Linked DNA regions of Caenorhabditis elegans. The protein of the gene in region 3 purifies or fractionates together with the protein of the main gene of each other region. This does not show direct contact. Each region holds a gene or a part of one and is shown on either strand. Other genes may lie near its edges. The genes, in order: T16G12.1, ruvb-2 and mcrs-1.

The links.
Region 1: the proteins of mcrs-1 (region 3) and T16G12.1 fractionate together in Caenorhabditis elegans (co-fractionation; one large-scale study listed by BioGRID). This does not show direct contact.
Region 2: the proteins of mcrs-1 (region 3) and ruvb-2 fractionate together in Caenorhabditis elegans (co-fractionation; one large-scale study listed by BioGRID). This does not show direct contact.

The regions. Positions count from the first base shown.
Region 1 is NC_003281.10:10,047,858-10,051,611, forward strand, and holds the start of T16G12.1 (Putative aminopeptidase-2), read right to left. Parts: upstream 2,001-3,754; 5' UTR 1,887-2,000; coding exon 1,784-1,886; intron 1,481-1,783; coding exon 1,378-1,480; intron 1,002-1,377; coding exon 886-1,001; intron 831-885; coding exon 681-830; intron 632-680; coding exon 469-631; intron 38-468; coding exon 1-37. UniProt on the Caenorhabditis elegans protein: Putative aminopeptidase which plays a role in oocyte maturation.
Region 2 is NC_003282.8:6,917,754-6,921,507, forward strand, and holds the start of ruvb-2 (RuvB-like 2), read right to left. Parts: upstream 1,654-3,754; 5' UTR 1,646-1,653; coding exon 1,604-1,645; intron 1,511-1,603; coding exon 1,373-1,510; intron 1,320-1,372; coding exon 1,191-1,319; intron 1,140-1,190; coding exon 863-1,139; intron 817-862; coding exon 426-816; intron 375-425; coding exon 222-374; intron 1-221. Other genes in the region: T22D1.18 (Transposase), read right to left, coding at 2,204-2,410. UniProt on the Caenorhabditis elegans protein: Possesses single-stranded DNA-stimulated ATPase and ATP-dependent DNA helicase (5' to 3') activity suggesting a role in nuclear processes such as recombination and transcription.
Region 3 is NC_003279.8:12,650,334-12,654,087, forward strand, and holds the start of mcrs-1 (FHA domain-containing protein), read right to left. Parts: upstream 1,755-3,754; 5' UTR 1,742-1,754; coding exon 1,626-1,741; intron 1,554-1,625; coding exon 1,484-1,553; intron 1,425-1,483; coding exon 1,344-1,424; intron 1,258-1,343; coding exon 848-1,257; intron 1-847. Other genes in the region: atp-1 (ATP synthase subunit alpha, mitochondrial), read left to right, coding at 2,057-2,101, 2,285-2,413, 2,467-2,897, 2,952-3,753.

The DNA.
Region 1 (3,754 bases), on a different chromosome or scaffold from region 3:
AGCGGAGAACGGTTCCATATGTGTAGCAATCATGTAGCTAAAAAGAGGTTGAGTCGAATCAAGAAATCAGTGTGAAAATATTGACTTCAGCTATCGTTTCTTGAAGTATATCAGCACTGGCTGGGCTCAGTGTTTTTTATAGACACGTAGGTGGCAGGCCCCAAAAATGTTGTTTTATGCCTACCTTGGCAATTCGACAATTATGTTGCCCAAAACATTTAACAAGTGATGAGCGATAAAAAAAGAGCTTCAAAAATTTCGGCAAATCGACTACATAATAATCAATCTGTCAAAGTACGGTACTCTTAATTAGAATTTTATTTTCCAATTTCGAGTTTTTAAAAAGCAGAGGTCGCTCCCTTAACCGATATACTCTTAATCTAACAATAAATTGTATGTTTTCTGGAGAGTTTACTTGCACAAAGTTACAGAATTTCGCCACCACTTTTCTACATTGTTTCCCCTTACTGTGTATTTCCTTGTGGATCATTATATGAAGTGTAGTAAACCCCTCCATCCGTGTATGGATTGATAATACCGGTGTAGACAAATTCGATGTTGTAAATTTGACCAGCGACCACACCATTTGCATTTGTAATCAGTGATAACTGTTGCGTAGTGTCATCTTGTGCTATAAATCTTTTCTTGTATTTTTTATCAATATACGTTCAATTCCTTACAAATTGAGTTGATTGGCACTACAGTTCCATCGATATCAACCACTTTGTAGCTTTGAATTTTAAAGTTATAGGCATTCAGAATGAATCTGTCCGATGCGACCAATGCTTCCACTTGTATCGATGCTCTTCCGTCGAATGTGAAGTTTTTCTCTGTAATACTGATGTTAACTTGCATCATTCGAAAAAGTAATAAAAAGTTTAGTACCTGGTGCATATTGAACTCCAGGGCTTGGGAAGTATGGTTGGAACCATAGACTATAGTCAATGGCATACAGATTTGGTGGGAGACGTGTTTTTGTTACATAAAGGCTTTGGCGTTTTCTGGAAATTCATTTTTCATTATTTTTTGTAATGATTATGTTTTCAGAGCACAATGAGTTCTAGAATAAAAATTTCAGAATAGTTGATAGCTGTCACATGCAAGATACGGCATCTTTACGAAACTTTTCTTATCAATTTTTGCAATAAAATTGAACATTTGAAAACAATGTTTCGAGTGATTTTTGTTCTATAACAACTTTTTTTGCCAAAACCATTTTACGTCGTAGTAAAAAAATTACGATTCCAAACTCAAATGAGGCAAAGAGTAGTGTAATTATATGTTCAATAATTTTTGCACTTTTCACCAAAATTAAAATACTGTAAATTTAAGAACTTGATTTTAAATATTTTGATTTTGAACTAAAAAAGAAATAACCTGGCTGCAAGTTTATCCTGTCTAAAATTATCTGGGTGTTCCGGCAAGATTGATGGATGATTGAATTCGACTTCTTCCAAATTTATAGTTTCAGCATGTCCCTCTGAAATGAGAAATTACTATATTGTTCCTTCTAGTCTATTTTGTAACAAGCTTAGCTTTAACGGCTCAGTGAGCCATAGTGGCAATAAAAAATGCCAAAATTCTCACATTTTCACGTTAGATTACTTTCAATTTTGGAGATCAAGTAGCTTGTTGAGTGGGACATTCTCAGCTTCACATAGAAATTCAAAATTCACAAGGGAAATTCGCACCTAGTTTAACTTTTTGTAAGCACATATAGTATCAATTTTTCAAATTATGGGGGAATGTGCAGTCTAGCGTCATTATTAAAAAGTAGACAAACCTGTGAATTCAGATTCCAAACCAACATTATTCGGTGCAGGAGCAGTGGAGATCAAGCTAAAGAGCCCAATAAAACAAAGTAAGAGAAGCAGTTTCCGCCGCATTTCGTAGTCGGCAGCACACGAAATGAAAAGAGTAGATTATACAATCCTCTCGCGATTTTATCTTTGAAATTTTGAGTTTGCTCTCCCTATTCCGGAGCACGCAGCAGCCACTGTACTTTCCTTATCGGTTTCTGGGATGTGACATCACAACGAGATGACAAACCTAATTATCAATTTTATCACTTTTGACACACTTTTAATACTAATTCCCAAAATGTCAGTTCGGGACAGAGTCCGCTAATTGGGGAATCGGTAGTGATGCTGGAGAATCTCTAGAGCATTTAATGAAGATTACAGTTTTTAAAAACAAATGTTCGCAAATACCGCAAAACCGATTTAAATCCAATTTATGGTTTATGATGTGATTTTTTGGTTCTCCTTCCAGAGTTTCTAGTAATCAAAAGATAGTAATGACTTTTAGTCTCACTGATGACTGGTTCAAGTGCTAAGTCATCAATTTTTTATAATTACTTCATGTTAAAAATTTAGTGAATGATGGAAAAATATCAGTGGGCATTTTTTTAAAAGATATTTTATAGTAGTTCAAAAACCCCATAAATGTTGTCACTTGGGCTCCGCAGAGCCCGTCCGTCCCAACTTTGCGGATATAGGCGCTTGGTCAGGTTCACCCACGAACCCACAATCACCATCCGCATGAGTCGCTCACTCTCTGTTCCATTCGTTCACTCAGAAACATTCCATTCTTTAATTAATTAAATATTATTATTTGAATTACCGCCATTTGCGTATTTCCTAATGCAAGTGCGCCCCCCCCCCCCGCACACTCGCGTTATTGCGGAGCGTCGTACTCCCGTAAATCCACACAAATATTCAGATGCCTTTTTAGGCCAACTCATTCAGTCTTCACACGTTTCACCACGGATGCCACCCGTCCCCACGTCATCCGTTTGTTCCCGTTGATAATTCCATTTATTTATTCAATAATAAACTTGGATTTATCTAAAAGTGTACTGTTATTCCCTCTGCACCGCTCATCGTCATCCGCCGTTCGTTCAAGCTCCGTGTCCTCCGCGCGAACACACATTTCGCCGTTCTCACCCGTTGGGTCTGACTCCCCAGCGACTGCGGGTGTCAACATTGGTGCATCGACCTAACCGGCTCGTGAATCACTAAGTTCCGAGCCGGAAACGGATCCAGAGTCAGGGAGGCACGTGGCGCGGCTTCCAGCGGTCAGAGGTAAGTCGATTTCTTTCAATTATCGCCTTTTCTAGGTTCATTTTCGACTATCCCATTCGAAAATGGATCTTTACAGTCATAAAAAGCTAAATTTTGACTCTATCATGCTCAAAATCTGGTTTTATTTGTCAATTTTCGAAAAAATTTCGACTCTCCCGCTCGAATTTCGAATATTTGTCGTCCTCCAATTCATTTTCGTTTTTTCACACACGAATCTGGATTTTCTACGTGTAATCTTGATTCCAATTCGATTATCACACTCGCAACTGGTATCATTAGCCTTTTATCGCTCTCAATCACGAGTTTTCCGCGTTAAAATAGCTAAAATTGGTCAAAAAATCTTGCGTAATCTTGCGTAAACTCGATTCTGAAGAGAATCTCCCCCCGGAGCATCCTTCTCTGAAGAATCTCGATGAAACTACCCATTTTTCGTCGTTTTCAGCTCAATTCCCTTTGCTTCGTCATAAAATGTGCTAAAAATTCAGTCAAAATCTGAAATCTAGGCTCAATGTCTCTGCTCGGCCCTCCCTTCCGCGTTTAGATAATTTTATGTCGACAGATGATGCAATTTCTAGGATTAGCTGAAGTCAAATTGCGATTTATCGCATTTTTGTCGTCATTTTCGTGTTCAAAGGACTTGTTTTCTCAAGAAAACCGCGTGGCGGGTCCAT
Region 2 (3,754 bases), on a different chromosome or scaffold from region 3:
GCAGACTGATAAAATAAAATTCAGTCAAATAAAAAAAACCTCATTCAGCTCAAAAAACCACTAAAACATCGGAAAAATGCCTAAATTTTGGCGAAATCTGCGAAGCTGATCGAAAAACGTTTGAATTCACGGTTTTGTCGCCATTTTCCTAACAAGACCCATGGATCGGGGACAGAGCGTTTCCAATTGCCGGTGGAGCGTTTTTAAAAGATATATCTCACTTGACTCCTTCTTCATCACATCGAATTGACAAAATCTTTGCTGTATCTTCTTTAGTATATGGGATCGCGTTGATGATGAGCATACGATCAAGGAAATCAGATGGGATGCCATGAGCAGATTCGACATCTGTTCCACGCACTTTTTCGATCAATCTAAAGATATTTAATTAAAAACTCAATATTAAAAAAAATATATTTGCAAACCTGTTGGTGGCCATGATAATCAAGGGACTGAGTTCGCCTTCGATGGCTCTGTTGAGGAACGAAAAGCATTCGATATCAAGCATATGAGCTTCATCAATAAACAATACTCCTGGTACAAACTTTGCTTTTCCCTCTTCTCTCCACTCCAAAACCTTCTTATTAATCTGATCTCTCACTTCTGCTTTGATCTCTCCAGTGTCTCCTGAGAAGAGTGCCACGTATCCTTGGGTACGAGAATTGATGACGTCAATGTCGTGAAGACAAACTGTGTGAACAGTTTCACGTCTCTTTTGAATTTCTCCATCTGGACACTGAACAAGCTTCACTTTTGGACCCATTGCGTCATAGTCGTGGGAACGGTTGAATGAACGGCCAAGTCGAGTAACACGTCCTAAAAACGATAATTTTTCAGTTTTTTGATTAAATAAAATTCTCACCAGAAGCCTTATCAACTTGAATAACATCACCGGGCATCACTTTCTCTTTCAGACACGCATCAACCATTTTTGATCCAAGATCGTAGATAGTTTCCATATCAGTTGTACGCATTGTGAGTTTTCCGACCTTTGGTCCCATTCCATTTGCTGACCGATCAACTTCCAACGAGATCACTTCTCCTTCCAAAACTTCAGTTTCTTCTTTAATCTGAATTCCCAGAGCACGTCGAAAAGCTTGAGTAAGTGCCTCTGTTTTGTTGATTTCGTTTGAATAAATCTGAAATTTAAAAAAGATATTTATTAATCTGAAAAAAAACATTAGACTAACCTCTGAAGCGACAATACTGACAAATGGGGTGTCCTCACCAAGTTCTTTGGAAATTGCGATGGCGATAGCAGTCTTTCCAGCTCCAGGCTCTCCTGTCACAAGAAGAGCACGTCCGGCAATTTTTCCCTCCTAAAAAATATAGTAGCAATTTTAGTTTTGAATTTTTGTGCAGAAAACATTACCTGAATCATTTTGACAATAAGTCCTGCAGCTTGTCTAGCGGCAACCTGGCCGACCATTCCTCCAGACACATATTCAGCTTCTAAACGATCATTAAGACCTAGACCAGTAATATGTGAATGTACGGAGGTGCGTTCAACCTGGAAAATATACTGTAATGCAATTGAACCTAGATTTTATTAGAAAATATGCTAAATTGAACACAAAAATTGAATATATGAGCAACAAAATACCTTTACAATATCTTTCACATTAATTCCGTCCAATGTCGCCATTTTGATGTCTGAAATTGAAATATAAAGCTGAAAATTTGCTGAAATTCGGAAAAAGTGAACCTAAAATTCGAAAATCGCGCGCACGAAACGCGCCAACCACAGAAAAAGCGTCAATCAAGGGGCACGAGAAGTGCGTCAACTCGCACTTTCTGCGTCTCACTCTCTAATTATATAGCAACGTGATCTGGAGTTGGATAAATTAATTTTAAAAAAATTTATAAATTAAGCATTTAAAGTTATTTTGGTCGGTCAAGTTTTTGAAAGTGACTGGATATTAAAGAAAATTAATTTAATCTTTATGAGCCTTGTAAAATGTTTTCAAATTTGATCAATCGAGCATAAATAAATGTATTTATTTTATCAATTAAAAAAATCAGAACTTATAAAATCTTATGTATAAAACCAATTATAAAAAAGATAAATATAGAAAAAAAGCGCAATTGAATACTTAGATGCTCTTTTTTTACCAGAATGTTCAAGTTCGATTGCCGGGATCATTTCTGAAGAAATTAATTAAAATGCCAAAAGAAATCAATCAAAACCTTTTTTCCCAATAATTCAAAGATAAAATTTGCTCAATGTGAATAAGGAATAGCATGCTGTAATTGCCACAGTGATAACAAGAGCCCAATCAATAAATCTTCTTGAATTCGAATATTTGCTATAGATCACAATCTCATCATTCGGATCATCATTCTTACAAAGAAGTGGTACATCAACCAGTGAATACTCTAAAGATTTATGAATAGGTACAATGTTAGCCATTTGGAAGAGAAATGAGGGCGACGATGAGGCTGTATGCGGGGTTTTCAAAGCATATGCTTAGAAGCGAAGATTGCTATCAAGCCTTTGCCTTGTCTTCTCGCTTACACGTGGCAAGTCTTTTTTCTGGCTAGGAAATACGATTTTAGAGAATTAAATCCGAGGCGGTGGAACGTTTTGGTAGAAATCCTGCATATCCTGAATTCAAACTTTCGGAAAGTGCTGTAGCAGTCGATTCCATGATTCTATCGTAACCTACTTATAAGTTTTCATTTTCAGAAACTAATTTTCAAAAACTATCACAGAAATTTAACAGATACGCTGTACATTCGAAAAGAGCTCTATATCCCACATATTCTCTATTAGTGCGGCACCTCAACCGCTCTATTTTAATAGCGTATATGTAACTCGCACGCTTTTGAAGATATCGAAAAATGAAAAACATAGAAAAAGAAAAAGATTTAACAAAGATGTTCTTAGTTGAAATTTTTGGCTTAAATCCGAGATATAAGCTGTCAAAGTTGAGCAATTGGGGGTGCCGAACTAATAGAGAATATACGGTATCAAAAATATTAAGAAGCAAATCATTTCAATTTTACTATACACATAAAAATAACCCAACAACAAAAAAATCGTTTATTTCTTCAAAGGTCAAAATGAAAATTAGTCACAAAAATTATAAACTCTCATTGCAATTCACACAAAACAACATTAGACACTGTTTAAATGTAAGTCTGTTCTTGAGAATACATAAATCAGAAACAATAATACCAGAAATAAAGAGAGCACATAATTCAAATGACGATGAAGTTGAACTTTCATCAAATAGTAAAACTTAATCGGAGTGAATTGAAGAATCAATAGGAAGATAAATGAAGTCCTGAATGACGCAGTGGATTTGTGAAAGAATAGATTCATATCTGTTGAAACAGACGGAGATGGCATTCAAGCCATTATGTTTAATTAATTCAGTCAAACTGTTCACAAAGTTTTGAAGAAATGTGTGAAAGATCAGAATAACGTGGTTTCAGAAAAATGGATATCTTTTAAAGTTGCGATACTGTATATTATCTATGAGTACTATTATACATTTAAAGTTTCCTTTATACTGTTAAGATTACTAATTTTAACTTACAAGACATGTATGCGTTTAAATTTTGAATAAAAAATCATGAAAACTGCAAATTAAATATATAATTATTTGGATGTAACTTGTTTTTAAATTTTGGAGCCCTCAGAATTTTCCAGATGCTGAAGGTACTCTGTGGTATTTCTAAAATGTTTCAGCACTTATAAAGGTTAATTTTGGTAATTTTTATGTTAATTGTTTTTCGTCTCTGGTGCAAT
Region 3 (3,754 bases):
GAGTGAAAATTTAAGGCTTTTTTGAGCAAAATCTGAACATTAGAGGCTTTTCAAGCTAACTTATGACAATTTTTCTCTAGAAAGTCTCAAAAAGACGTTAATTACTACAGAAAATCGATTTATGACCGACACAAGTCTGCTTTTTATTGGAAATTAGGGGGTTTTTTCTATGAAAATCAATTCTTTTCACCTACTGAAAGCCTAATTTAAAGAAAATTGCGTGAAAAAATCAATAATCGACTAAAAATATGAAGAAAAACGAACTTTTCAACTAGAAGTTCACATTTTCACGGAAAATTAGCGTTTTTCTTTGGGAAAGTGCCAAAAAAAAGAGAATTACAGTTAAAATTGATTTTTAATAGAAAATTTAGTTTTTCTGTGTGATTTCAGTTGAAAAATCGGCTCATTTTGCAATATTTTGGATATTTTAATCCTAGATCTTCGAATTTTTGGCATAATTAGAAGAAAAAACGAGAAAAAATCAATTTTTGGCTGAAAAAATTCAGTTTTTAACTAAAAATTAACGTTTTTTCTTTGAAAATCTGATATTTTTGTCGAAAGAGGCCCTAAAAAATTAATAATTGTCTAAAAAATATGAAGAAAATTGAATTTTTGGATTAAAAATCAGTTTTTTTTTCTGAAAATCTCTCTTTTTTTTACCTAGAAAGACCTTAATTTAGCTTAAATTGCGTGAAAAACTTCAATATTTCGGTGGAAATTAGAAGAAAATCAAAATTTGCAACTAGAAATTCAAATTTTCACAGATTTTTTAGCTTTTTGGGTGCTTCCAAGCTGAACAATCAGCTCCGCAAGGCAAATTTTGGCGGAAAATTTCGATTTTCCATACCGATTTCCGTCTAAAATCTTCTTAAAATGGAGAATCGTCAAAACTGTGTGATTTTCCACGTCTTGTCGCTCTTTTCTGGCGTTTTTCAGCTGATTTTCCGCCAATTCCATAAGAGTGCGCTCCTCATTCCTGGTAAATGGCGTCCTCGCCTCGATTTGAGCTTTCAAACGATGTGGCATGGCGTCAAGTCGAACTTTTGCGGATTTTGATATTTCTTCGTCGAACATTAGCTGACAATAACGCTCTTCTACGTCGGAAAATGTGAATTTTCGCGAAAATGTCAGCGAATTGTGGATGAAACGGATGCATTGAACGTGAGCGACGGCGGTGAGAAGCGCCAGATCGTCGGCGACGGTCCAGATCCTCATTGGGTTCGTTTCCGTGATTGAGGGCTCCATGTGAATGAGAATCTGTAAAAAATCGGGGGTTTTTCGAGGAAAATTCGATATTTTTGAGGATAATCCTGGATTTTCAGCATCTTCCCCGCAATTCTAACCTTTCTCCGCTTCAGTTCCGGCTCTTCAGACGGCTTTTTCATCACCATTTGGGCCTCCACTGATTCTTCAGTTTCTTCCGCCTGAAAAAATCAAATCTAATTTTTTATGGAAATTTATCAGGTTTCCTGAGATTTCTCACATGTATCTCCGAGTTTTCTTCAATTTTTTGCTTCTTAAATCCTGACAGCTCGTTGGGACGCTCTATATCTCTGAAAAATGTAATTTAATTCATTTTTTAGAGCAAAATTCAATTATTTTAATTAAAATGTCGAAACACTCACTCAAATTGTTCGATTTTTCGTTTCCTTGTCCCTTCTTCTTCTGTGTCTTCTATTGTATCCTTTTTTCGCTGGCCGGAGGCGACCTTGTCGATGATTTCGTCGAGTTTATCGGCCATTTTTGGGACAAACCTGAAGTTTTTGCAGTTAAATCAAAGGAAATTTTATTTTAAAAATGATGAAATAAGAAATAAAATTTAATTTTCAAGAAAAACAAGCGAAAAATTGAGAAAATCGATTTTAAAAAAAAATGTTCACTAAAAACGAGAGTCAGCAAGCGCGCCCCACTGAGACACTTGGCAGCATGCCAACACCTACCGTATACCAGACAACCTGCATTCCCCCAACCGCCCATCAGGGAGAGCCGCCTTAACTGCAGCTTCGGTTTTACTTTTGCTTTTGGAATTCGTTTTTTCCGAGCAGACCCGTTGAGGATGTTGTCCAAACGCATTGTTACCGCTCTTAACACCGCCGTCAAGGTTAGTTTTATCGAATTCTCCGCAGAATTTGACCCGAAAATGTTGTTTTTAGGCTTGAAAATTTAATTTGCCACTTTAAATTTTTTTGCTGTGAGCTTTTTTCGGATATTATGCCCTTAAATCAACATTTACGGCTCAATTATTGATTTTTGATTATTAATTCTAATTAATTGCATTTTTCAGGTCCAAAATGCCGGAATCGCCACCACCGCCCGCGGAATGGCCGGAGCTTCCGGATCCGAAGTCTCCAAGATTCTCGAGGAGAGAATTCTCGGAACCGAGACTGGAATCAACCTTGAGGAGACCGGAAAGGTGATTATCTCGTCGTTTTTAAGCTTTTTTTTTTTAATTTTTATTCGTTTCAGGTTCTCTCCATCGGAGACGGTATCGCTCGCGTTTACGGATTGAAGAACATCCAGGCCGAAGAAATGGTTGAGTTCGACTCAGGAATCAAGGGAATGGCCATGAACTTGGACGTTGACAACGTCGGAGTTGTCGTCTTCGGAAACGATAAGGTCATCAGAGAAGGAGACATCGTCAAGCGTACCGGAGCCATCGTCGACGTTCCAGTCGGAGATGGTCTTCTCGGACGTGTTGTTGACGCCCTCGGAAACCCAATTGACGGAAAGGGACCAATTGCCAACGCCAGAAGATCTCGTGTCGAAGTCAAGGCCCCAGGAATCATCCCACGTTTGTCTGTGCGCGAACCAATGGTTACTGGAGTCAAGGCCGTCGATTCTCTTGTGCCAATTGGACGTGGACAACGTGAATTGATCATTGGAGATCGTCAAACCGGGTAAGTATTGATTTTCTCGAATCTTAATTAAAATTATTAAACAATTAATTTCAGAAAGACCGCCATTGCCATTGACACCATCATCAACCAGAAGAGATTCAACGACGCTGGAGACGACAAGAAGAAGCTTTTCTGCATCTACGTCGCTGTCGGACAGAAGAGATCCACCGTCGCCCAGATTGTGAAGCGTCTCACTGACGCCGGAGCCATGGACTACACCATCGTTGTGTCTGCTACCGCCTCCGATGCCGCTCCACTCCAATTCTTGGCTCCATACTCTGGATGCGCCATGGGAGAGCATTTCCGTGACAACGGAAAACATGCTCTCATCATCTTCGACGATCTGTCCAAGCAAGCCGTCGCCTACCGTCAAATGTCTCTTCTTCTCCGTCGTCCACCAGGTCGTGAGGCTTACCCAGGAGATGTCTTCTACCTTCACTCCCGTCTTCTCGAACGTGCCGCCAAGATGAACAACAGCCTCGGAGGAGGATCTCTCACCGCTCTCCCAGTCATTGAGACTCAAGCCGGAGATGTGTCTGCTTACATTCCAACCAATGTCATTTCCATCACTGACGGACAGATCTTCTTGGAGACTGAACTCTTCTACAAGGGAGTACGACCAGCCATCAACGTCGGTCTGTCTGTATCCCGTGTAGGATCTGCTGCTCAAACCAAGGCCATGAAGCAAGTCGCCGGATCCATGAAGCTCGAGTTAGCTCAGTACCGTGAGGTCGCTGCTTTCGCCCAATTCGGATCTGATCTCGATGCCTCCACACAACAACTTTTGAACAGAGGAGTCCGTCTTACCGAGCTTCTCAAGCAAGGACAATACGTACCAATGGGAATTGAAGAACAAG